7 linked regions of the Rattus norvegicus genome follow. The protein of the gene in region 4 interacts with the protein of the main gene of each other region in a biochemical or structural test. Links are inferred from orthologs where the notes say so. Each region holds a gene or a part of one and is shown on either strand. Other genes may lie near its edges. The genes, in order: Gtf2ird1, Zfand6, Ankrd13a, Ubc, Cfap36, Ubqln4 and Rabgef1.

Evidence for each region.
Region 1: the proteins of Ubc (region 4) and Gtf2ird1 form a complex in vitro, tested with the Homo sapiens proteins (3 studies listed by BioGRID). The link is inferred for Rattus norvegicus from reciprocal best matches to the Homo sapiens genes UBC and GTF2IRD1.
Region 2: the proteins of Ubc (region 4) and Zfand6 form a complex in vitro, tested with the Homo sapiens proteins (6 studies listed by BioGRID, with this or other methods). The link is inferred for Rattus norvegicus from reciprocal best matches to the Homo sapiens genes UBC and ZFAND6.
Region 3: the proteins of Ubc (region 4) and Ankrd13a form a complex in vitro, tested with the Homo sapiens proteins (4 studies listed by BioGRID). The link is inferred for Rattus norvegicus from reciprocal best matches to the Homo sapiens genes UBC and ANKRD13A.
Region 5: the proteins of Ubc (region 4) and Cfap36 form a complex in vitro, tested with the Homo sapiens proteins (2 studies listed by BioGRID). The link is inferred for Rattus norvegicus from reciprocal best matches to the Homo sapiens genes UBC and CFAP36.
Region 6: the proteins of Ubc (region 4) and Ubqln4 form a complex in vitro, tested with the Homo sapiens proteins (4 studies listed by BioGRID). The link is inferred for Rattus norvegicus from reciprocal best matches to the Homo sapiens genes UBC and UBQLN4.
Region 7: the proteins of Ubc (region 4) and Rabgef1 form a complex in vitro, tested with the Homo sapiens proteins (10 studies listed by BioGRID, with this or other methods). The link is inferred for Rattus norvegicus from reciprocal best matches to the Homo sapiens genes UBC and RABGEF1.

Annotation. Positions count from the first base shown.
Region 1 is NC_086030.1:27,942,746-27,946,245, forward strand, and holds part of Gtf2ird1 (general transcription factor II-I repeat domain-containing protein 1), read left to right. Parts: intron 1-2,256; coding exon 2,257-2,567; intron 2,568-3,233; coding exon 3,234-3,323; intron 3,324-3,500. UniProt on the Homo sapiens protein: May be a transcription regulator involved in cell-cycle progression and skeletal muscle differentiation. May repress GTF2I transcriptional functions, by preventing its nuclear residency, or by inhibiting its transcriptional activation.
Region 2 is NC_086019.1:147,989,599-147,992,321, reverse strand, and holds the end of Zfand6 (AN1-type zinc finger protein 6), read left to right. Parts: intron 1-1,302; coding exon 1,303-1,451; 3' UTR 1,452-2,223; downstream 2,224-2,723. UniProt on the Homo sapiens protein: Involved in regulation of TNF-alpha induced NF-kappa-B activation and apoptosis. Involved in modulation of 'Lys-48'-linked polyubiquitination status of TRAF2 and decreases association of TRAF2 with RIPK1.
Region 3 is NC_086030.1:47,485,657-47,489,954, forward strand, and holds the start of Ankrd13a (ankyrin repeat domain-containing protein 13A), read right to left. Parts: upstream 2,801-4,298; coding exon 2,705-2,800; intron 1-2,704. UniProt on the Homo sapiens protein: Ubiquitin-binding protein that specifically recognizes and binds 'Lys-63'-linked ubiquitin. Does not bind 'Lys-48'-linked ubiquitin.
Region 4 is NC_086030.1:36,899,088-36,903,299, reverse strand, and holds the start of Ubc (polyubiquitin-C), read right to left. Parts: upstream 2,801-4,212; 5' UTR 2,734-2,800; exon of another isoform or gene 2,171-2,733; intron 1,001-2,170; 5' UTR 998-1,000; coding exon 1-997.
Region 5 is NC_086032.1:107,178,907-107,182,406, forward strand, and holds part of Cfap36 (cilia- and flagella-associated protein 36), read right to left. Parts: intron 565-3,500; coding exon 450-564; intron 1-449. UniProt on the Homo sapiens protein: May act as an effector for ARL3.
Region 6 is NC_086020.1:176,313,524-176,317,023, reverse strand, and holds part of Ubqln4 (ubiquilin-4), read right to left. Parts: coding exon 3,484-3,500; intron 953-3,483; exon of another isoform or gene 924-952; coding exon 765-923; intron 668-764; exon of another isoform or gene 1-667. UniProt on the Homo sapiens protein: Regulator of protein degradation that mediates the proteasomal targeting of misfolded, mislocalized or accumulated proteins.
Region 7 is NC_086030.1:32,121,376-32,125,361, forward strand, and holds the start of Rabgef1 (rab5 GDP/GTP exchange factor), read right to left. Parts: upstream 2,801-3,986; 5' UTR 2,600-2,800; coding exon 2,388-2,599; intron 1-2,387. UniProt on the Homo sapiens protein: Rab effector protein acting as linker between gamma-adaptin, RAB4A or RAB5A. Involved in endocytic membrane fusion and membrane trafficking of recycling endosomes. Stimulates nucleotide exchange on RAB5A. Can act as a ubiquitin ligase.

The sequences.
Region 1 (3,500 bases), about 9.0 Mb from region 4:
CTCTTCTTAATCACCACTAAATTTCTTAGGCTAACCAGCATTAATTGTCCCAGTAGTCCTCTCTATTTGTGACTCTAAAACCAGAGCCACGGGCTGGAGAGATGGCTCAGTGGTTAAGAGCCCCGACTGCTCTTCCGGAGGTCCTGAGTTCAATTCCCAGCAACCACATGGTGGCTCACAACCATCTGTAAAGAGATCTGATGCCCTCTTCTGGTGTATCTGAAGACAGCTACAGTGTACTTATATATAATAAATGAATACATCTTAAAACAAAACAAAACAAAACAGAGCCACATGGGTGAAGCTGCTTGCTGGGGTTGGGACATGGCCCCCTTGTTCTATTACATTATCACCAGCTTTCTGTTTTCCAACTCCTTCGATGCCTAAGGTTGTCTGTCCTGGAACTTGCTCTGTAGACTGACCTTGAACTCAGAGATCTGCATGACTCTGTCTCAGCGCTGGGATTAAAGGCATGTGTACCATGCCTGGCCCTAAGCTTTTTTTTTTTTTTTTTTTTTTTCCCTTTTCACAAGATCTTTATAAGTTCTGAACTACAGTTCATTCCACATGTAGTCACATTGGCAATGGAGAAGAGCGGTCACAATCCATCCCTTGTCAATTTGACACAGACGCATATCTCCAAATGAAAACAATAACCAGGTTATAATAACCCCTAACGTGATATAACTGTCCCTTGCTCAACTGCAAAGGTATCAATAAAGCTTAGCTGGGTGGGTTCTTGCCTGAAGTTACCACTCCCTCAATTCTATTTAATATCCTTGAACACAGGGCTTAGCTACATTCCGCTTCCTGGTGCCCCTTTAAACTTTATATTTTATATTTTATATATATTTTATTTTAAACCATACATTTTATATTTTTCCTCTTTAACCTTGCTATGCTTGATCAAAAAAATCTTCCTCATAAGAGTCAACCACAGGGGGTTGGGGATTTAGCTCAGTGGCAGAGCGCTTGCCTAGGAAGCGCAAGGCCCTGGGTTCGGTCCCCAGCTCCAAAAAAAAAAAAAAAAAAAAAAGAACCAAAAAAAAAAAAAAAAAAGAGTCAACCACAGGACAAAGTGTAGACCAGGCTTTTTGAGGTTTCTTGTGTCGATGCAGTTAATCTGAATCTCTTCACCTTGGCCTCACGCAGATATTCAGACAAGGACAAAAACCAGCTACATTCTTTATCAAATCATCACAAGAACATCCTCTAGGCCACACATTAAAGTTCTCTTCTTCTGAAACCTCTTGAGCCAGGCCCACACTGTTCAAATCTCCCTCAGTACCACCGTCTTCCATGTTTCTACGAGGACAGCTCATTAAGCCCCACTTAAAGTAATCCACTGCTTTCATAATCCAAAGTCCCCACCAAATCCACATTCCTCCAAACAAAAACATAGTCAGGTCTATCATAGCAATAATCTAGTGCCAGCGTCTGTCTTAGTTAGGGTTTCATTGCTGTGAAGAAACGTCACGACCAAGGCAACTCTTGTAAAGGACATTGAATCGGGGCTGGCTTACAGTTAACGGGGTTCAGTCCATTATCATCATGGTGGGAAGCAGGGCATCACCCAGGTAGATATGATGTTCCAGAAAGAAGTGAATGGTCTACGCCCTGATGCAGAGGCAGCCAGAAGGAAATCTCTTCCATACTGGGTAGAGCTTGAGGACTAGGAGGACTCAAAGCCTCTCTACACAGTGACGCAGTTCCTCCAACAAGGCCACCCCTATCCAACAAGGCCGCACCTCCTAGTAGTGCCACTTCCCATGGGCCAGACATATTCAAACCACCACAGTGAGTTTGAGGCTACCTTGCTTAAATGAGAATCTGCCTCAAAAACATGTATTAAATGTAAATGCCTTGAGCTGAGGAAACAAAATGGCCTACGTGTGATCTTGGGCCATGAATGAGATTCCTAAGAGGCTGATGGGAGGTGAATTCGAGGCTGGGCTCAAGGTGGATCCCATGGGAACAGCATAGCCAGGGCCTCTATCTTCCCCAGCAATGCATGAGCAGGAGGGACAGATGGGATGGGAGGGAGCCAGGTGGAGGATGAGATTGGTGGCTTGGAGCACTGAGGCAGGCTTGGTGTGGGCCTGGGTCATCCAGTGGTTGACATTTGGTATCAGGCTCATTGTCCCCACAAAGTGGGCCTGGCTTCCATCCTACCCCATTACTTGGTCTCTGATGGGTGAGATTTACAGAGCGAGAATAGGTATTTAGAGAAGTCCCCATCTCTTCTCTTCCACTCAGGCCTCCTGATGACGGTGGGCAGGACACAAAGGCGCTGGTGGAGATGAACGGTATCTCTCTGCTACCCAAGGGGTCCCGAGACTGTGGTCTGCATGGCCAGGCCTCCAAGGTCTCTCCCCAAGACCTGACCCCCACCGCCACCCCATCCTCCATGGCCAACTTCCTGTACAGCACTTCGATGCCCAACCACACCATCCGGGAACTCAAGCAGGAGGTGCCAACCTGCCCGTTGACCCCCAGCGACCTGGGCTTGGGCTGGCCTGTGCCTGAGCCCCATGTCCCCAGCACCCAAGATTTCTCTGATTGCTGTGGTAATGCTGTAGTGGGGACCTACATGTCTCTCTGGGTGGTTACCTCTAAGGAGGAGGTATTTCTGGGCACAGGTGGGGTTTAGCCAGTTGCATTCTGTGGGGACCCAGTTCAACTTGGGCATCCACAGACCTTGCTTGCATGGGCTCGATAGGCAAGTGCAAGGAACAGCTGAGTATGAAGAAGTAGGCTCTATCCTAGCTGTGCGTGACAGGGCAAGCCTCTCACTGAGCCTCAGTTTCCTCATTTGTAAAATGGGAATGAGAATATGAGCCCGAGTATCCTTTATTGAAGATACTTGGGATCAAGATTCCTCAACCAGACATTTCAGATTTGGGTGCTGGGATGTGGCTCAGTTTAGTGTTTGCTTAGCTAAAGGCGTTTGTCTCCAAGCCTGACGACCTCAGTTCAGTTCCTGGGACCCATATATAAAAGGAGAGGAACGGCCTCCCACAAGTTGTCCTCTGATCTCTATAAGTTGACAAATAAGTGTAATTAAAGGGGTAAGATTCTGTCATGACGCCCACCTCTGGATAGCCAGTTCTGACACAGATTGCAGCTAAGAGCTGTCATTAGGGGTCGGGCCTCATGATCGTGGGGCTCAGTTCTAGTTTCTCTCGAGTAGGTGGGACCCCTCTAAAATGTATGCCTCTGTCCCCCTTGTTTAGGACAGGCGCCTGCAGGGCCTGCTGGGCCTCTCATCCAGAATGTCCACGCTTCCAAGCGTATCCTCTTCTCCATCGTCCACGACAAGTCAGGTAGGCTTATTGTCAGGTAGGCTTATTTATATATGTATAAATTAATCTGGGGTTTCAGCATGTGGGATGGTACCGCCCACAGTGGGTCGAGGTCGTTGTGTTAGTTTTTCTTGTTGCTGTGCTGGGTGGTCATGCAAAGAACAGAAAAGAGATGATTGCTGGTGCTCAGCCTGATTT
Region 2 (2,723 bases), on a different chromosome or scaffold from region 4:
CGTAAGCCTGGGATTCTCTGGGATTCACTGGAAAGTGGTGCAACTAAAAATAGTTTTGCTGATTTTTTTTATTATTTATTTTGGCATAGTACCAAATACAGGTATAAAAATCAGGTGTATGAACAGAGCACAGTAAGATTTTGAGTGAAAAGTATGCTTCATTGTAGCATATGCTTATAATCCCAACACTTGAGAATTGGGGGCAGAATCAGAAGTTCAAGGCCAACATATGCTACATGACCACCTCTCTCGCAAAAATAGAAGAAAAAAAAATGATACCTTAGGATCTACTTCTTGCTGAAACATGAGTTGGCATTGAGGGAGGAGATTAAAGTATGATGTCAAAGATAACCTAAACTTCCCCATTCCTTCAATATATATTTAATTTAAGATGTACATATTTAATATCAAAGACATCATTTAAAAGTTTCATGAAGTTTCAGACTTCCTGATCACAAGGCTTAGGACTTAGTTTTCATCTAATTTAGCTTTTGATTGCTTCAATTTTCTATTAGTTTCAGAATATGTTTTTAAAGTTAAAAATGTGGTAAAGACAGTGAATGTCAATTGTTGATTAGATATTGATTATTCCTGAGCTCTGTTTTCCCAAATGCACACTAACATAAAAGCAATCACTGTCACTCTGAGTTTCTGAGCTCACAGGGCATAGCCCTAAAATTAAGTAGCTTTTATTGGGTGTTTTTGTATATTGGACACTCACCTGGTCCTTAGAGTAATTCATGACCCCTTAAAAAGTGCATATGTGAGACTTAGAGAAGCTTAGTGAATTGTCTCTGATTCTGAGGATATTGGCCCACAGAAATCTGCTTCAAGGGTCTTCTTCATCTCCCCAGACAGAACTGTTCACTTAGAGAGCTCCTGAGAGCTTAGCAGAGGGGGAAATTAAAGGTCACTCAGCAGCACGTCTCTGGAGTCACTGGTCTGCTGTCAATTAAATGTTACAGTTGTTCTGACAGTAGGCTTGTTTCTACATTGTGTATTTTCAGTTTAAAAATGATCCATTTTCAGTTTAGCAGCCTTTTCCTAGGAAGAAACTGAGCATATCACAAGTGAAGAAACCAGCTTGGAGAAAAAATCAGCCTTGCCCTCGTACAAATAAGTATATGTAGATGGGAGCAAGACAGGAAGCTATCTGATAATGAGTTGAGAATGAAGCTCTTGAAACTTTACAGTATTCTTCAGAGACTTAGAGACAGGGTTACTTAGCATTAACTGTGGGAAGAACTTAATATCTCACGCTCCTGTCTAACCCATGCTGTACACATATTCATCCATTTCCAGGGTTTGAATGCCGGTGTGGAAATGTTTACTGTGGTGTGCACCGTTACTCAGATGTTCACAATTGCTCTTACAATTACAAAGCTGATGCTGCTGAGAAAATCAGAAAAGAAAATCCAGTAGTTGTTGGTGAAAAGATCCAGAAGATTTGAACTCCTGCTGGAATACAAAATCCTTTGACTATCTGCAAACTAAACATTGACTTGAGGTTTTTTTTCCTAGTCCTTGGGAATGTAGAGCACCGTATCTTGCATAGACCGTTGAATCATGCATGTCATCAGAAGAATAGATTTTTGTTTTTGTTTTGAAAATGACTCTGAACATTTATTTCCATTGCAGTTTCTGTGGCTGAAAAGAAGTATTATACTTTTAAGATCATTTTAATTTTAGTTGAGTGCAGAGGGCTTTTATAACAAATGTGGAGAAATTCTGGAGGGCTGTGATTTTTTTCCAGTATTAAACATGCATGCGTTGATCTTGCAGTTTATTTCTCATTGTGTATGTATATATAGCTTTTCTCTGCAGCACGATTCCCTTTTGATAAGGCCCTTCTGGGTACAACTAGTTATCAGTAACTGAATGTATCTTAATCATTACGGCTGCTTCTGTTTGTTTGGTTTTTCATTAACAAAGGTTATACATATGTTAGCATATAGTTTCTTTACATCCACTATTTATGTTTGAATCATTTGTCACAGCAGAATATGTGCTGACGAGATTCTAAATTTGTGGCTTTCGGTTCCTTTTTTTTTTAAACAAGGGAAAGAAAAGCTGAGTGCATTTCACTGCTGACTGCAAGTTTCTTTGCGATTACTGTTCATTGGTCTGTGTGTGCACAGTATGAAGAATGATCTGGTCATTGTGCGGTATTTATGTTTATTCACCAGTCTTTGATTAAATAAAAAGGAAAACCAGAAAAAAAAAGTGCTACTTTTCCCTCTTCTTTCTGGTAGTTATTTGTCTTGTTAAATCTTTTAGGGCTTTGCTTTCCTAATATGGTAAGAGCACCACTATTACTTGTCTCACCTCTAGTTATGACTTAGGTGTTATGACAAATTATATTCCTGTGAGTGAAGACATTAGAATAGTTTCAAAGCCAAGTAACTTGGATGTGATATACTTTGACCCTCATCTGACTGTCCTGCACTCTTTTACACCAAATTAAAATCTAATGAGCTTCTTTACTTTGTAGGATTAGAGGCATTCAAATTGTGTCAGTAGGAGAATTATGTACTAGAAAGACCCTACAAAGACCTATTTGTCCTCTGGCTTCCAAACTTTTCTAGAAGTTAGCCTGCTTAAAAATAACAATGGTTGTACTTTACAGTACAAATTTCTTGATGGAAAAATGTTTAATTTTAATAACATATATATAATATGATTTAGTGTTAAAAGTATATATTCTGATCACATGAATAAATTTA
Region 3 (4,298 bases), about 11 Mb from region 4:
CACAAGTGCTACACCGTCAAGGGACCCATTGTGTTAAATTAGGACAGCCTCAAAACCGAGAGGACCAAAGAACCGGCAAGTACATGAGCATTCTCTCTCAGCCTTGAAGTCAAGGACAGCAATGACCTTAAGTTTTCTCCCATCGAATCTACAGCAAGACTTTTTAATTCCCAAACCCTGCCAAGCCTATGACCCCCAGGACAGGGGAGGCTGAGGAGGGAGACTACTGAGAGGGTTTGAGGCCAGCCGGGGCTACACAGATGACTTGCAGGCCACCTAGATTTACACGGCAACGCCGTCTCAAAACAAAAATAAAAGATTTTAGTTCCCAAACTTTAATTACAAATGCTCTTAAGGTCTGACATGGTCAAAACAGATCTTCCATGCCTTTATCACTTTTTTTTTCTTTTCAGGAAACGGTGACTCGGCCACTGCTGAGATCGTGACCAAGACCTGTCTCTTACTTTTGCAGACAGCTCTCCCTCCTCAGTGAGGAGAAAGCTGCTTTCAGAACTCCGGCCTGAAGTCCGAGGTGTGATAACGAATCTTTCTATCACATGGGATTTAATCTCGTGACATGACTCTCTGTACTTTCAACAGTGTGTGAGCTTCGAACCACTGTCCTCAGCAGAACGACCCGGAGCCCGGAACCCTTCCATGTTCTAACCCTGAGCTGTAGGTGCTTCAAGTCCTTTTCTGCATTTTTTATATTTTTATTTTGAGACAGAGTCACACTTGCCCAGACTGGCCTTGAACTTGTCATTCTCCTGCCCCGGCCTCCAGGACGGGGGCCACCACATCTAGTCAAAACTGGTTACTTCTTGAAGTGTCCGGAATGGGGCTTGTGGATGGGTGTAAGAGCTTAGATTCTAGAGAAGGCCTCTGAGCTGTGTGAGAGTTAGATCAGCAGGTATACTGGGATAGCAGGCAGTGAATCATCCTCTCTGGGGGCATGTGTCATATCTCTTTAAATCCTAAGTAGTTACCCTGTCATCTAATTAAGAACAATGACTCTTACAGAACCTTGCCCTGTCTGGACCCCACCCCCATCCCCCACATACCTGAGGATGAAACCCAGGGCCTCCCACACAACAGAAAAGTGTTCGGGCCCCACAGGCTGTCTCACCCTTTCTTATTTATTTTCAGACAGGCCCTCACCAAGTTGCCCAGGCTAGCCTCCAACTCCAGATCTTCCCGCTTCAACTTCCTGGGCGATTTGGGTTGCTGATGTACGCCGACATGCCCGCCATGGAATCCTTATTTTTAAAATGTGACTTTTGACTTCCCATGGTGCCCATCCAACTAAAAATACATATGGCAAGCTATAAACCAAGGCCGAGTAGAACTGTTCCAACAGCAGCAAGGCAATGTTTACCAATCAAAAGAACCAAGGGTTCGCAACAGTTACTAGTCAGCGGTAAGTCATTCAAAAGCAAGCCTCTGACACACAGGCTAACATGAATGAAGCCTACAGTAACAATTGTGGTGGATTTCGGGAGTAATTACAAATCCTTATCTCATTTGCTACAGGTTAGAGAGCAACCCAGACACCCCATACCTAATGAAATGACTGCAGCGCCCTTAATGCCAGGAGTCTCCATCCAGGTGGCTCAGCCTTCAGCAGGCCACTCCTCACCCAGGTTTGGGGCCAGCCTGGGCTACACAGTGAACTCCAGGCTAAGCAGGGGTTACACAGTGAGACCCTGTCTGCAGCAAAAACAGAGAAAAACCAAGAAACCCAAACAAACGAAATAATATAACACCAAGATTCTCAACCAAGGCTCTACTAACATTTGGAGTCCGGTAACACTCTGTTGCGGGTGGGTGGCTGCCTTTTACACTGTAGGGCACAGCGGGGTCCCTGGCCTCCACCCAACTCCATGCCAACAGTACCCACCTCTCATGTCACAACAGCCCCAAACTTCTCCTTGCACTGCCAAATATTCAGAACCGCTGATTTAGAAAGATGGCAATATTAAAAACAACAACAACAACAAAAATCCAAAGTACTTCAGAACAGGGGGGTCCTAAGGACTGAGCAGCAGAGACTCTCACACTTAAACCAACTACCCTGGGGAGCTCGTTAAAAGCACTGATTCCTAGGCCCCGTCCCAGCCCCATCAATTTAGACAGGGACTGGGCTTTCCGTCATCACTGCCTACACCCTTATCCTATGGGTAAGGAAAAGTGGGCCCCGGAACATAACTGCTTTGCCCAAGGTCACAGGAGTTAGAACCGGTCCACGGAACCCAACCAAGCTCTTCCCCAGCACCAGGGCGGGTGGAGTAAGGGGTGTGTGTGTGTGTGTGTGTGTGTGTGTGTGTGTCGCTCTTCCGTCTTCGAGTAAGGGGTGTGTGTGTGTGTGTGTGTGTGTGTGTGTGTGTGTGTGTGTGTGTGTGTCGCTCTTCCGTCTTCGAGGCCATAAAGCTTAAAGGTGAATTCCCGGGCCAGCCGGCCTGAGATAAAAGATCCCGACGTGGTTCTCATTAGCTCGGTGGCCTTGCGCCTTGCGCAAGGCAAGTAGGCTCTGGGGTCTCAATTTCCTTCCCGGTCAAGCGGAATACTAAGCACTCATTCCTAGTGATATCAGAAAGGGGAGAGTGGACCAAAAGCCCAAGGCACCGGGCCCGGTCTACGGTGAGCGCTTGATAGATCCCGGGACTCGGGAGTCGAACCGACTCTGACTCCGCGCCGCGCACCTCACCTGGTCCCGCAGCTCCTTCTCCAGCTGCCGGTAGTCGTTGTTCCAGACCAGAAGGTGCAGCGGGAAGCGGCTGCTGGTGTCGCGGGCCGAGGACATGGCGAGGAGGTCGCCACCCAGGCCTGACCGCCCGCCTGCCACCAACCTGGACCCACCCGACGGGGTCTCGGGGGCCCGCCCGACCGGACGGAGAGCGAGGGGAGGAGAGCGGCGAGCGGCCAAGTGCCGGGCGCAGCGGACGACAAGGGCCTCCGAGTCCGGAGCGGGCGGCGCGGGAGGCCCGGGGTCGCGGGCCGGGCTGGGGACCGGCTCGGGGACCCGCTCGGCCGCGCCCACCCCGCGCCCCGCGCGCTCGCGCCCGCGCTGACAGCTAGCGAACCGACTGCTGCCGGCCGAACCGCCCCGAACAGGGAAGTACGCGAGGCGTTCCATCACGCTCCGCGGAGGGGGACCTGACTTCCTGAACGGACCGAGTCCCGCTCCATGTCGCCCCACCAAGCCCCCACGCCTGGACACACGACCACCACCGTTCTGTGGAACTGCGGGACCCTTGGGAAGCCCGAGATCTCCACGCACAAAACCCACTGTGCGCGCCCTCCGACTCTCGTCCCCTGCCCGGCCTTCTCCAGTGGTGCGCTCCACAATCGGGCCTCTTCCATCGGCTCTGCCGCCCGGGGGTGCACGCGCAGGCCTGGACCAAACCATCGGACTGGAGCCTCCCTCAGCCGCCGCCTTCCGCGATTGGTCGGAAACCATTTTGGAAGTGGGCAGCGTGAAATCGTGTTCACAGGAGATCTGGACCCCGGATAAGTGACACCAGATACCCTCACTATCGGGGTAGTTGTGTCTCTGGGCTTTTAAACTTTGCAGTGTTTGAACTGGGGGGTTCTGTGCGCGGAGGTCATCCGATGCTTTGTAAGTTAGGGTGGACGCTCGCCTGTTCCATGCTGTCAGTACTCACACTATCCCCCAAACTGTCTCCAGACACGGGCAGTTTTTTCCCCTGGAGGAAGAAAACCGCCCTGTTGAAAACCGCTGTTCTGTCTGAATTTCCAACTCGGCTATAATTCAAAGTGCTTGCCGTGAAGGTTTATCCCGCATCAGCCTCACTAAGCTAACCACTCAGATTTAGGATTGTGGCCCAGAGGAGTATCCAGGTTGGTCCACAGTATGCACAAGTAAAATTCATCCTTTGGGTTGCGACTTCAGACACTGTGTCTTCTCGTCACAACGAAGAAACAAGTGCTGTCTCTGCCCAGGTGTTTACAGCTGCCACGAAGTCCTCCAGTGCAACCTGCAAAGCACCCCCTCTTCCTTATTGGCTCTATATACACAACCCATCTCTTCAGATGAGTGCGAAGGCTGTCCAAGAAAACTGACCACGTCCATTCTGCTCGGGTCTGGAGTCCTTGAAGAGTGAATGGAGCTAATACAGGATACAGTGACATAAAGACGGCACCTAGGGGCTGGAGAGATGGCTCAGAGGTTAAGAGCATTAACTGCTCTTCCAGAGGTCCGGAGTTCAATTCCCAGCAACTACATCGTGGCTCATGACCATTGGGATTCTATACCCTTTTTTCGTGTGAGCTGCAGCGTA
Region 4 (4,212 bases):
TTGCCTTGACATTTTCAATGGTGTCACTGGGCTCGACCTCCAGGGTGATGGTCTTGCCTGTCAGGGTCTTCACAAAGATCTGCATGCCCCCTCTGAGGCGAAGGACCAGGTGCAAGGTGGACTCCTTCTGGATGTTGTAGTCTGACAGGGTGCGGCCATCTTCCAGCTGCTTGCCTGCAAAGATCAGCCTCTGCTGGTCAGGGGGGATGCCCTCCTTGTCCTGGATCTTTGCCTTGACATTTTCAATGGTGTCACTGGGCTCGACCTCCAGGGTGATGGTCTTGCCTGTCAGGGTCTTCACAAAGATCTGCATGCCCCCTCTGAGGCGAAGGACCAGGTGCAGGGTGGACTCCTTCTGGATGTTGTAATCTGACAGGGTGCGGCCATCTTCCAGCTGCTTGCCTGCAAAGATCAGCCTCTGCTGGTCAGGGGGGATGCCCTCCTTGTCCTGGATCTTTGCCTTGACATTTTCAATGGTGTCACTGGGCTCGACCTCCAGGGTGATGGTCTTGCCTGTCAGGGTCTTCACAAAGATCTGCATGCCCCCTCTGAGGCGAAGGACCAGGTGCAGGGTGGACTCCTTCTGGATGTTGTAGTCTGACAGGGTGCGGCCATCTTCCAGCTGCTTGCCTGCAAAGATCAGCCTCTGCTGGTCAGGGGGGATGCCCTCCTTGTCCTGGATCTTTGCCTTGACATTTTCAATGGTGTCACTGGGCTCGACCTCCAGGGTGATGGTCTTGCCTGTCAGGGTCTTCACAAAGATCTGCATGCCCCCTCTGAGGCGAAGGACCAGGTGCAAGGTGGACTCCTTCTGGATGTTGTAGTCTGACAGGGTGCGGCCATCTTCCAGCTGCTTGCCTGCAAAGATCAGCCTCTGCTGGTCAGGGGGGATGCCCTCCTTGTCCTGGATCTTTGCCTTGACATTTTCAATGGTGTCACTGGGCTCGACCTCCAGGGTGATGGTCTTACCAGTTAAGGTTTTCACAAAGATCTGCATTGTCTATGGAAAAAAAAACAAAAAACAAAAAACCAAAAAACAGGTCAGGAATGACACAAATTCTTTAGAGTGCCACCAACCGTTGGATCTGTGAGGTGGCTAGTAGTTTAGTCTAAATAGCTACACAGACTGTTTTGAATTTTACCCCCTAAAACCAACAAGAAAATAAAAGTCTTGATGGAACAAAGTTATGAATATTAGGCATTGTCTATTACCAAGTTGGCAGGGTGGAGCGTTCAGTACGGAACTGCTGAAAGTCAGTCCCTGACTATTTGCAGTTTGGAGAAAAGCCTGACCCACATTTCACCTTGGGGGAGGGGGGTTTAGGAGGACCCACTCCAAAGAAGTCAGAAACTCAAGAGCTTAGAAGGCAATAGTTGGAAATCCCGGATTCAGGTCCCGACTGGTAGATAGAGCCAGTTACTACTACAAAACTGAACTATGTTCATATCTTTCCTCCCAGCACTGGGGACACTGAGGTGGGCAGATTTCGTGAATTGGGAGGTCAGCCTGAGACAGTGAGATCCTGCCTCAACTCTCCTTCCCCCAAGCTTTTGTCTGAACAATTAAACAGTAGTTTACTCTTACTCTTATCCTCTTAACCTCTTACTTTCACCCCATCTGTCCCTTCTCTCCCCATTCTCCTCCCTGCTCTCTCTCCACATGTTCCGACCAGCTTTACTCCCTCCTCAACTCCCCTTCCCATGCCCTGAATAAACTCTATTAAAAAAAAAAGTAGTCTGGGGTAAGTGGCACTGGCCTTGGACCTCATCACATGGGTGGTAGAGGCAGAGATTTTTTTAAAGTTTAAAACCCTTGTCAGGCTGGTAAGATGACTCAGTGATTAATAGCACTGACTGCTCTTCCAGAGGTCCCGAGTTCAATTCCCGGCAACCATATGGTGGCTAACAACCATTTGTAATGAGATCTGATCACACCTCTTCTGGTGTGTCTGAAGAAATAAATCTTTTTTTTTTTTGGTTCTTTTTTTCCGGAGCTGGGGACCGAACCCAGGGCCTTGCGCTTCCTAGGCAAGCGCTCTACCACTGAGCTAAATCCCCAACCCCTGAAGAAATAAATCTTAAAAAAAAAAACACCCTTGTCTAATAAATAGTTTCCGCAGCCATATCCGTGTAGCGAGACAAGGAAAGACTCAATGTAAGTCAGGCTCACGTTCCCCCTCTGAATTTCCGGTTCCTGTTTACTCTGGAGAGGCTACCCGAGGCCGAGACCCAAACCCGGTCCTACAACTGAGGGAAAGCTAAAGCCATCGTCACTATACACTGTGAGACCACACAAACCGCGACGTCACAGGGGCGATAGGCTAGGCTGGACCGCCACCCTCCCCCTCCCTTCCCAATCGCACTCCTGTATTTAGCAACCGACGAATTCCGGATAACCGACATCTCCCTCCCGTCTAATACCCACAGTTCTCACATCAGAGGCTCCTACAGCGCGCCAACCGAATTCAGTTCCCAACCCAAGCCTCTGACGTTCCCGGCTTAACCGGCGGCAAGCGGCCTCGCGGGCCTGCTTCCCCCAACCTGGTCCAGCGCGTCAGGACCGCGCGTCTTCCCCCTCAGGCTTCCATTTGGCCGCCATCTTGCCGCCCGGTCCTCGGCCTCAGGACAGCAGCCGTCCTCGCGGGCCACGGAAACCAAACGTCCGGGCCGCGGGCTGTCTCTCGCCCCCTCCCGCCTCCCCGCCCCCGCCGGGTGTGGCGGCTTTCTCCTCACCAGCGGTGTTGGCTGCAGTCCTCACAAAAGAGTAGAGACGGAACTGGCGGTCTCCACGGAACTAGCTGCGGGACGCGAGGCGTCTCTTTATATAGTCATCGGGAGCCCCGCCCACCCCTGGATTCCTCCGCGGAAATGCGGTTGGGGACTACTTTTTAATGCCCGGTCCAATCTCTGCAATGGAAGCGACAGGCTAAAACCATTAAGATCGCTTCATGGGGTTGTTCCACTGCGAAGGCCAGAGAGTGAGGGGCTTTGTGTGGAGGGGCAGGACTGCGACCTTGCGCGACCCCGCGGAGGGATCAGCGCCTGTGACGTGATCGGCGCTAAAACCCGGCAGGGATCACTGCAGCCGGAGCGGACCTCGGCGCAGGCGCACTGTGGCTAAGCGAGCCGGAGACCCACCAACTACCCCCCACCCCCTCCGTCAAGGGTCCCAGTCGCCTCTTTCTGTTAGGGGGACCTAGGGCTTTGGCTCTTGTTACACTGATATTCCATTGGTGGCCTCGGCTCCTAAGTTCCCTCACCTCGAGTCGGTCGTCACTGTGCCCAGCCCTCTTTGTTTTGGCACGGTGACAGGATGGATGACTGTGCAAATCTCATAACAAGGGAAATGACAACGGTTTTTTTTATTTTTTATAAAAAAAATGGGGGGGGGGGGGATCTCTCCCCAGTTTGGGAAAACGAATCTGAATTCGTCAAGAAAAGCAGTCAGTCCTCACAGTTCTTGAAAACTGTTGGCATTAGATCTGAAGCCCAGTGGGCACTAGATCTTTCCAGATTCTTCCTAAGTCTGTTTATGTCTGGTGTCCTTGGATTCGAGAAGGTTCTGTTTTCTGTTCGATTGTCACTAAGGAAAGGTCAAAATATCAAAATGTTGTTCATATTCTGAGACTGAACCCATCGAAATCCTATTTTTTTAATTTTTGTTGTTCAGACAGGGTTTCTCTGTATAGCCCTGGCTGTCCTGGAATAGGCTTCGTAGACCGGGCTGGTCTCAAGTTTACAGAGATCCTTCTGCCTCTGCCTCTAAGTGCTGGTCTACAGGGCTACACAGTGAAACCTCGTCTTGAAAAAAACCAAAACCAAACAAAAACCCACACACACACACAAAAAGTACACGTTTAGTACAATGTTCAGATTACAGCAAACATATACCCCACTTGTAAAATTCAGCCTATTCAGGTTTTTGAAATGTAAGGCCTGAGACCTTAGAAGGTAAGAATTGAATCCCTAGGGTAGAGAGATGGCTCAGCAGTAAGAGCAGGTCTTCTTCCAGAGTTCAATACTGAGCAACCCTGTCAGGCAGCTAGCTTACAAAGGCCTTTGACTCCAAAGCTTCTCAAGGCTTCAAGGAGGTCCAATGTCCCTAGGGGCACTCACATACATGTAGCATGCACACACACAGACACACACACTATTAAATGCCTTTAATCTCAACCTTTTTCTTTTTTGAGATTTTTTTTTGAGACAGGGTCT
Region 5 (3,500 bases), on a different chromosome or scaffold from region 4:
TGTGGACAGGATCAACAGGTCCAGCAACACCTGGAAACCTGTTTAAGACACAGATGACTATGTCCCACCCCAGACCCATGATGGCTGACCCAATGCTTACTGACACCAGAGAACCATTTCCTACTAAGGTCTTAATAGTGACAAGCAGAAGAGTAGTCACCGTCACCTGCTCATAACAGTAACAACAGACACAACACTTAACTAGCACAACGGCTGAGCAGGAGAGTAAGCTCTCACAAGACTACAGTGTCAGTAAGTCAAACTGTCTTCTTTGTTTGAGATGCCATATGCTAAATTAGGAAATTTATATTCTTAAATCTTTTACAAACACTTTCACATTTGAAATAAATGCATAAAAGGTAGCCAACTATTTTAAGACTGTTAGAAAAAAAATCAAACTTCAGAAACAAATTCAGTTAGTACTTAGATTCCTAACTTCAGTATTTTACCATTTCTCTCCTGGATTATTCGGATGGCTTGAAGCTGCATTTCAATGTTCTTCTGGACCATCATTGCTTTAAAGATAGTAAAATCTTCTGCTGCCAACACAGGCTGCAAAATGGCCTGTGGGAGGAAGTCTGGAGGTTAAATGATTTAAGTTTGGAAACTGTTTAACCCACATTCAAATTATTTCCACTGAAAAGCAGCATATTAATTCATGGATGTTACATCATTATGATGGTTAGGTGACTCAAATAGACAATCTTAAGATTGAAATACACAACAAAGGGTTTCATTATGTAGCCTCAAACTCCTAATTCTCCTGCCTTGGCCTCCTAAGTGTTGGGATTACAGGGTGCATAGCTATACCCTGCTATGATTTTATTTTTAAGCCTTTAAAATAAGGTTCTCAGGAGCTACCTCACTCAACCTGCAAGTCTCCAGGAGTGAGACAGGTAGGCTCCTTCTCCAAACCAGGTAGTGTTAAATGGAAAACATGACCATCTGGTTTGAGTTTTAAAGCCCAATTATATCCTATCTCCTGAAATTTACTTTGGGTTTGATTCAGGAAATAAACAAAAATTAGGGTCTTATAAGAAAAAAAAATATATGTCAGAGATTATATTAGATTAGGAATTATAAAACGTATAGTAAGTGAAGAATAAAAGTGAGGCTGGAGTGATGGCTGGATAACAAAGATCGCTGCCCTTGCAGAGCATCAGGTTCAATCCCTAGCACCCAAACGGTGGTGGCTCACAGCATCTGTAACTCAATCTGAGGGCATCAGGTATACATGTGGTACACAGACATACATACAGACAAAACACCCTTACACATAAAATAAAAATAAATCTTTAAAAAAATAATAAAAGTATCTATCAATAGATTACATATATAAATATTTCCTTAACTATTAGTAACGTTACACATTGCCAAGAACAAGCCAATTCCTAAGCTAATTAATGAGCAGAATAAGAGTGAAGTGCATGGAAATACCCAAAGGAAGCACCCAGGTCTTATCTTGTCTTATCAGAATTTAATTGTCAGCTCTACCTGAGATGAATGGAAAAGCTGACCACACAAAATCATGCAGAAGTAACCAAGAAGGTACTGTGTCCTAGAAGGCAAAGGCGATGTTCTTACAAAGAACACCGACAAGACAGCTCATCAAAGAATTCCCCTTGAAACAGATGAGCCCTTCCTCTAGCAGCCAAACCAGTTCAACACATTCTAGATGTGCAGTATAACAAGGGTAAAGGCAAGAGTGGTTCTCAGAGGCACCTTCAAGGAGTACACTATGAAGAAAAATATAAAATACTTCCTTAACTTCTGCTGAGGTTTTCAGGAATCTCAAGGCAGGGGATGGCAAACTTGAACTGAGAGTGCTAAAACCAATATGGGCAGCTTCTGTCTGAATCCCCTTTTGGGGGTTGGGCATCCTGGCCTAATACTAACAACAAGTACTTTATCTAACTTTTAAAATGGCATTGCTATTCTATCGAACTTTTGGCCATTTGAAACAGGGTCTCACTTTGTAGCCTAGGTTGGCCTCAAACTCAATTATAATTTGCCTCCTGAGACAAAGTATTGGGATTACAGGTCTGAGCCACCACACTCAACTATGGGCACTGCTGTTGATAGCAATATGTCGCACAAATTTTCTTAAAGATTGAATTTGTACTTGTGACCTTTGACCCTACTTAATAAATCCAAGAAAAATGATTGTTAATAAAGCATTTTCCTGAGCCCTGTTTTAGACATTAAAAACTATATAAGCTTTACAGGATGTATGCCCACATATCTCCACAGAGTAACTCTTAAAGCATTAAAGTTTAAGAAACATTGGCATATCATGGAAGGAAAAGAAGCTTGATATCAAAAGCCTACATCTGATTTAACTATAGGCACTAGTGGATCTGTGACCCTGGATATCATTTAATCCTTAGCATCAATAAAAATAACACAGAATTTATGTAGTGTTTCATGGACTCTAGGATTCTGAAAAGTAATAAAATAGGACATTGCTTTATATATCACTTAGAAAAACTACCAGTTAAATAACACTATTAATTATGCAAAACAATCTCATTTTAAATATATTATGATATAAAAATGTGTCTCTGGGGCCTAGAGAGATGGCTCCACAAGTAAGAGTACCCAGGTTCAATTCCAACCATCCATATTATAGTTAACACCATCTGTGAGTCCAGTTCCAGTGCATCCAATGCCCTCCTCTAGCCTCAGCAGGCACTATATACACAGTACACATAAAATCTTTTTTAAAACATTTGCTTCTGAATAAAACAAATATAATAATAACTAATTCACAAATATTAAATGAATTAAGTAACATTTTATAATCTGAACAGTAAGCATAAAAGGAATTGTTCTGGTCTTTTTAAAGTGTTATTTTCATTATTTGTAACTCTGTGAATGTGAGAGCCCCTGGAGCTGGAATCATAGTTGTTGTAAGCCACCTAATGTGAATGCTGGGAACAGAATTCAGGTCCTCGAAAAGAGCTCTCTGCTGAGCCAGTGTTCTGGTTCTTTAAATGCTTGTTGAAATTGATGGACTGTTGACCCAGCTAAGAAAAAGGCAATCTGGGCTACATAGTGACTTTGAGGCCAGCCTAGACTACTCCAGACCCTATCTCAAGAAAACAAAAGGAAAACAAAAACCACAGCTAACACCATACTTTAAAATTCACAGTATGATCAGATATATAAAAAAAAAATGTAAGAAGAACTATCACTGTTCAACTACAAACATTCAAAGAATGAAGAAATAGGTAACAACTTTGTGGCCAAACTTGATGACCACAGTTGGCCAAGACTCACAGTATGATGACAAGATGATATAAATAGATAAATCATGACTACTTAAAAGATTAATCAGTCAGACAATAGTGACACACACATGCCTCTAATCCCAGCACCCAGAAGGCAGAGGCAAAAGAATCTCTGTGAGTTCAAGGTCAGCCTTGAGTAAGTTTATGGAATAAGTTCCAGAACAGCCAGGACTCTACAGAGAAAAACCAAAATGAAGAAAAAGAAAAAGA
Region 6 (3,500 bases), on a different chromosome or scaffold from region 4:
AGATCTGACTCTTTCTTCCGGCCTCCAGAGGCACTGCATACATATGGTGCACATTTAAATATGTAGACAAAATATCTACACATGTAAAATAACTTTTTTTGACATACATAATCCTGCTGACCATGGTGCCACATCTCAACAATTGGGAAACCGGCTTGGGCGTATTTCATGTTCTGGGATGCCCTAGGCTATATAGTGAGACCTTGTCTTAAATATAAAACAAAAACAGGGCTCACTGAGCATTTACTCAAAGCAGAGGCAGGAGGATCTCTGAGACCAACCTGGTTTGGTCCAGGCCAGCCAGGGCTACATAGTGAGATCTCAAAAACAAACAACACAAAAGCCTGCAGAGACTAACCAACCAGCAGCCCTAAGTAGGGTCTGGAACCCCGTTATTGATAGGTCCCCCCAAGTGATTCGGATGCAGGTGAACCATGAATATATATCACACACACACACACACACTCACTATAGCTTTTGACCCCAGGTCAGCTCCCGAGCCTTTGAGCCTCTGGTGCAAGAGTTTATCAGGAACAATTCACTATGCTCCTTGGACACCATCTTACCTACTTCCCTAAGGACCTCTGTTATACTTTACCCTCATCAAGTTGGCTGTCCCTGGCTGTGCACTACTGGAAATGCCTTCAAGCCAAGGCCCGCCCAACAGGAGACTGGACAAGTAAGAAAGCACTGGGGCACGCCTAGGTTGGGAATAGGGAAGCCTGAACCCAGCCAGCCCTCTGTTGCTTGCCTCCTGGCCCCACCTGTTCCCGGGCAGCAGTGAACATGGGTTCCTGGATGTCCGTGTACATGCGGCGGAGGGCATTATACCCTCCCGGGACACTTTCCAGGTTGCTGAGGGCCCGGTCCTGGTTCCGCATCATTTCTTGCATCATGGCTGGGTTACGAGCAAGCTCCATTGTCTGGTGAAGGGAAAAATATGAGATGGGCCCTGGAACCAGAGGAACACCAAGCTAGGAAAAGGGACCTGAGGAGGGAGGGAGTCTGCACAAGGAGTGCAGGAACTACTCAGTGGTGGCAGGGAGCACAGCCAACCAGATCCCTCCCTCCACTGTAATCTGGGCTTGATCCTTGCCTCCCTGTGGCTTTTCTGAACTGAAGGACAGTGTTCCCAGATGGAGTTAGGTAGCAATTTCCACCTCTCAGGCTCAGGGGACCCCCCAGAGATGTCAGAGAGCATAAGAAACTGGGGGAGCTGTAGAGATGGCTCAGAGGTTAAGAGCACTGACTGCTCTTCCAGAGGTCCTGAGTTCAAATCCCAGCAACCACATGGTGGCTCACAACCATCTGTAATGGGACCTGATGCCCTCTTCTGGTGTGTGTGAAGACAGCTACAGTGTACTTAAATATAATAAAAAATAAATCTTTAAAAACAAGAAAATGGGGGTGTGAAGAGGCACTGAGTACAACCCACCAAGCGCCTAGAACCTGTTCCGTAACAATGATCCAATAAATATCCAATGGATGATAAGTGATTGAATAATAAATGATCTCTTGATCAGAGTCCGGAAAGGCTAGGTATATCCTCTAAGCAAGGAGTCTTAGAAGGCTGGAACAGATTAGGGGAGGAGAGAGGAGTCCAAGGGAGAGGAATAAAAAGCAGTTTACTAGCTTTATGACATCCCTAAAGCTTGACACTGAGAGCAACTAAATGATGTAAAATTGAAGTCACACCCTTCTCACAATAACCAGGTAAGTGTTCCTGTCTCCCTACTGTAAATATGAAAACGGGGTCAGAGAGGATCACTGACCTGTTTCCCCCTAACACACAGGAGTAAATCATACAAACAGGTTTCTAGGCCAGGTCTCAGCAAACCACACTGTTAGTACTGGTAAATCAAACTGGGCAGAGAATTCAGCCTAGACATCCTCCACTTCTGGGTCTTCAGCCAACCTGAATTGTCTGTGACACTGAGGATGAGGCCTCTCTTCTTCTCTCTCTCTCTCCTTTTAAAAGATTTATTTATTTTATTCATATGAGTATATTGTAGTGTCTCAGGTACACCAGAAGAAGGCATCAGATCCCATTATAGATGGTTGTGAGCCACCATGTGGTTGCTGGGAATTGAACTCAGGACCTCTGGAAGAGCAGTCAGTGCTCTTAACCTCTGAGCCATCTCTCCAGCCTGAGAGATGATCTCCTCTTTAGAGCTGATAGCTTACTCTAAGGGCCTGCTGTCACTCAGGTCTCCACAACCCTGATGGCAAGACCCCCTAGCCTGTGTTCTGGTAAATGCCTTTAGTCCCATCACTCAGGAGGCAGAGGCAGGAGGATCTCTGTGAGTTGTGGTCAGCCTTGTCTATAAAGAGAATTCCAGGACAGACAGAGACCCTGTTGTAGTAAGAACTCTGGAATCCTGGTTTCTTTAAAACAAAACAACCACAGAAACAGCCTAGTGGTGGTGCCCACCTTTAGTCCTAGTCCTCTGTAGGCGGAAGAAACTCTCTCTCAAAAAACGTAACACTACCACCACCAACAAAAACCAAGAACAACAAAAAAACAGAAACAGTGTAAGAATATGTTTTTGTTGTAATCCCAGGCATGGGGCCATGGGGCTGCTTCTCAGCAGCTGCCTGTGATTTGCTTCCTGCTCTAGCAGAGGTGTAAGGTTTTGCCAGTTGCAGACAGTTTCTGCCATTGTGTGACATTGGGAAGTTTTCAGAGGGTTTATAAGTGCTAGGTGGGGTGGGTGTTGGTCATTCAGGGGGTCGTGGTCAAAGAAGACACAGAAGAAAGATATTCACAGATCTCTCCCTCTTCTCTATCCTTCTTTCTTTCCTATTTAGTGAGAAGGGGTGAAATGCAGGAATGGATAAAAGGGGGAGGGAGAAGAAACCACAGGTAGCAGAGACCAGCTACAAGCAAAGAAGAAACAAAAAGAAAGAAAAATTAAATTTAGGGATCTCTACTTCTTTCTCCCCTCTAGTCTTTTTTCTCCCCTACCTAGTGATAGGGGATAAAACAGGGGTATGGGGGAAATGGAAGGTTTGGGGGGAGAAGAACCCACAAAGTAGAAAAGTCCAGCTACACCCTGTCTCAAAAGTAAAGAAAAAGATTTCCACTGGGTGTCCTTCTCCACAAGGCATGCTCAGCTACTGGGTCAAACACTGTTTGGACCTTCCTTTTGAGGTTCCTTGGCCTCCAACAGTCTTTTTCTTTCCTTGCTTCATCCTCTGTCTTCCTCTGGGTCTTAGCTTAGTGACATTTCTAGAAGACCTTCTATAAGCCCCGGAGCAGATGTTCCCAGGGCGTCACTAGTTGTCCAGCATTGCCCACAATCTGTCCCACTTGCCTTAGGGTCAAGGAGTTGCTGGCCCGTGTCTGTCCACAACTATCCCAAGTGTTCAAAACACACTTGCTCACTTGCTCAACCGAGCGAACAAGAGGATGGGCAAACAGTGAGCTCAGAGCAGCCGACCGACGCCAGAGCCCTCCCTCCTCCAAGCTTCTCTCAGACCCACCTGCCTCATGAGCTCCG
Region 7 (3,986 bases), about 4.8 Mb from region 4:
TGGCTCAGTGTGTAAAGGCACTTGTCACCAGCATGGCCTCCGGAGTTGAGTCCCAGGAGCTCAAAGGGTAGAAAGAGAGAAGTGACCACTGGGGCTGTCCTCTGCCCTCCGTACATGTGCTGTGGCATTGCACACTCACACATACCATAAGTCAATGTAGGCACTGGACAGATGGCTCCGGGTTTAAGGCACTTGCTGCACCTGTAGAAGACCTGGGTTTGGTTCCCAGCAGCCACACGGCAGCTCATCACCTCCCGTAACTCCAACTCTAGACAATCTGACACCCTCTTCTGGTCTCCTCGGGTACTGAACACGTGTGGTGCACTTACGTACATGCAGGCACCATACACATACAAATAAATCTTTGAAAGTACAGAAAGAAATATCACATTTGAGGCTTAGGAGTAGCTAACTTGCCTAGCACTCTCAAAGCACTGAGTTCAGTCCCCATCGCTGCATGCATGGTGGCACACATCTGTTCTCCCACCATGTGGAGGGTAAAGGCAAGAATATCCAGTCCAAGGTCACCCTTGATGACACAGGAAGTCTGAGGTCAGCCTGGAATACAGGGAGAGCCTGCCTCAAAATACCATTAAAGGCCCAGCAAGGTGGCTCAGTAGGTAAGATAAAAGGCACTTGCCACCAAGCCTAATGACCTAAATTCAATCTCCAAAACCCATCTGGCTGAAGGAAAAAAAAACCCTGGCATCTATACATGGAGATAACCCCTCTCACAAAACAAGATAGTTTTTTTTAATATAAACATTATGTACCATATGAATGTGTGCATGTTAGGGCCTGGAGAGATGGCTCAGCAGTTAAGGGCACATACTGTTTTACAGAGGACCTGTAAAAGTAACTTTTATTGGCCTGTTGTAATTGCTATCTTGGAGGCTTACTGATAGCCTAGGCCTAGTCCTGGAAGCTCCTAGCATTTGTACAATCTTAGCTAGGCCTAGAGTGTTTTCAGCCTCTCAGACTTGCTGCTGAATAAGCTCACCTTTTCCTAGTTCTTTCTGAACTCTGGCTGTCTGGTTCAACTCAGCTGTTCAAGCTCAAACTCCTCTCCGAGCTGACTGATTCAATCTACCCCCCACCCCCAACCTCCTCTCAGCCTCTCCTGAATTGCTTTGTTTGGCCTCATATAACTTTGGCAATCTGTTCTAACCTATTGGTCCCTTCTCATTCTCTGGCTCGTTCTGTCCTCACCTGTGTCTAACTTGTTCTCTCTTCAACCTGTCTTTGTTCAACTATCCCAGTAAAACTGCCTCTCTCCTTCTCCCTCTCGGTGGTGCTCAACTCTCCCTCTCAACTCTACTGCACTGCTCTCCACACTCTACTGCACTCCTGTCCTGTGCTCTCCTTTTCCTGTACTATCTGTCTCTCCCTTAAGTAGTTTCCCTTTCCTCTCTCTCGTCTCCTGTGAGTCAGGCAAATCCTATTCTGTCAAATCTTTCTCTGACTTATCACTTTGTCTGCCACTCAATTACCCATCACTGTCAAACAAGAGTGCCTCCTTTACCTTCATTGTTTGGGATTAAAGATGTGAACTAAGGGTGTGTCTGTTCCAGACAGAGGGATTAAAGGTGTTTGCTAAAGGTCGAGCCACACCTTAACTAGAAACAGTTATTTTCAGTAAAACAATCTTGGGGTTCAGTGTGATCAAATGTCCTGCAACAGGATCCAAGTTCCTTCACACACACACACACACACACACACACAAATAAACCCTTCAATGGTGTCAAAGAGATTGCTCAGAAGTTTAGAGTACTTGATCTGCAGAGAACCAAGGTTCAATTCCCGGGACATCACAAGGTCACTTGCAACTCTATTTCCAGGAGATCCTTTCTGACTCCCACAGGCACTAGGCACACATATTTCAAACATACACACATATACAGAGGCATACATACATAATGCAGACAAAACATTTATACGCATAAAATAGTAAATATTTTTCTAAAAAATCTTTCATAAAGAAAGGAAGAGGGGTACAGGTAAAAAAGAAAGAAAGGAAGAAATGGACTTGCTGAGATGGATACAGTTCAGAGGGAGAGTTCACACCCAGCATGTCTGGGTTCAATCATCAGCACTGACAATCGGGGGGTGTTTGAAGGAATGTAGCGCTTTTCCCTATTTGAGAGCCACACAAAATATCACTATCCAGCAAGACAATTCCTAGAGCAGAGTGGAAACCAAGTGTTTTTAGAACAGAGGACAGAAAACTCCAGAAGAAAGGTTTGAGAAGGCACTACAGTGGTGACGCTCACGGCAGGTCTACAGGATGACGAGGGTTCTAGATAAGCAGGCCTGGGCATGACAGACTGTATGCCGGTTCTGTCTTAGTGACCACACCACACCTCCACATAGCCTGTGAGGTCCTTTACCGTTCTGCTAGTTCCCAGTCCTCTTGGATCTGCCTCTGCCGGGCCTTGTGGTACTCCTCCCTCCAGCATTTGGAGCAGAAACCCTGCCAGGCAGGGTTTCCATAATAACCACATCCTTTCTTGCACAGGAGCTCCGACTGATCCACATGAATTCCCCGGCGTTCGGACTTCAGGCTCATCTTCTTCCTGATAACCAAGGAGTGAGAAAGCATTGAAAATTAACTTGCTTCCATACTATTAAAATACAACACTTATGAAGCAAAATTCAAATGAGTCTGAGCTCTTCAAGCCATAAGGGGAGAAAGAAAGAACAGAAGGAGAGAAGAAAGTACAAACGCCAAAGTTCAACACGGCGAATTCAAGTACAGCCACAGTAAAGAAAGACTTCATCTGAGGCCCGAAATACACAGAGCACCTTAAGAGCCTAATACCGGATTAAAGACCTAAGCATAAAGCTTTAAACTCCTAGAAGGAAAGCTTCCTGACACTGGCAAAGACTTCAACACGCCAAAGCACAGGAAATAGAAGTAACAAAACCAGACAAATGGCACAACAGCAAACTTCTGCACAACACACAATGCAACCAACAGAGTGAAGAGGCCACCTACTGAATGGGAAAAGACATTTCCAACCTCTGCAGAAAAGGTCAAGCCCAAAATATATGAAGAACACCGACAAGCCAACAAGATAGAACACACAACTCTCCTAAGGAGAAATAAGTGTCCTACAGTCTGCAAGACCCTGTCTCAAAAACAAACAAAATGACTAACAAAGACTGGGAATGTTGGCATAGGCCTGTAATCCATCAGTCTGAAGCAGGAAGACTGCAAGTTCTAGGCCCACCTAGCTTAGAGTGAAACCTTACCTAGAAATAAATATTTAGTAGTCAGAAAACACTTGAAGGAATTGGAATAAATCAAAACCATAATGAGACATCATTTCACACTACTGAGAAAGCCACCTTAAACACACACACATACTGAAGTGCTAATAGGAATACGTATCCGTTAGATACAGCCTTTTGTTGCATTCAGAAGGCTGGGAACTGGAGGTGAATAGCCTGGTAGTCTGTATTGTCTGTAGGACCAGGCCATACCAAGCTCCCACAACCAGGACCACAGGTGGCTAACAGCCCAAATGACCTCTATGCTAAATGTGTGATGCAGACCAGGCCAGAACACCCCTCTGTCCTAGCTAATACAGGTAGCCTGTCTCTACAACCTATCTTGGAAGAAATGATACGTACTTCTAGATGAGTTTCAATTATGCCTCCTTGTGTACCAGGGACTGTATTACACCAGGAAACAGTTTTCCAAACTGCACCATGTTTAAGTGTGCAAGACAATAAACCGCCTGGCATCAGACTCCCGAAGTCTGACCCAGCCTGGATGACTAAGTCAGGCTGAACAGTCTACACCCCACCTCTTCAAGGGTTGTTTTGCTGCCAGTCATGACACCTACCTTTATTTCTTCTAGGTTCTCTTCCCTTTTAAGATTTATTTATTTCAGGTATGTGGGTACACTGTCGCTGTCTTCAGACACACCAGAAGAGGGCATCAGATCTCATTACAGATGGTTGTGAACCACCATGTGGTTGCT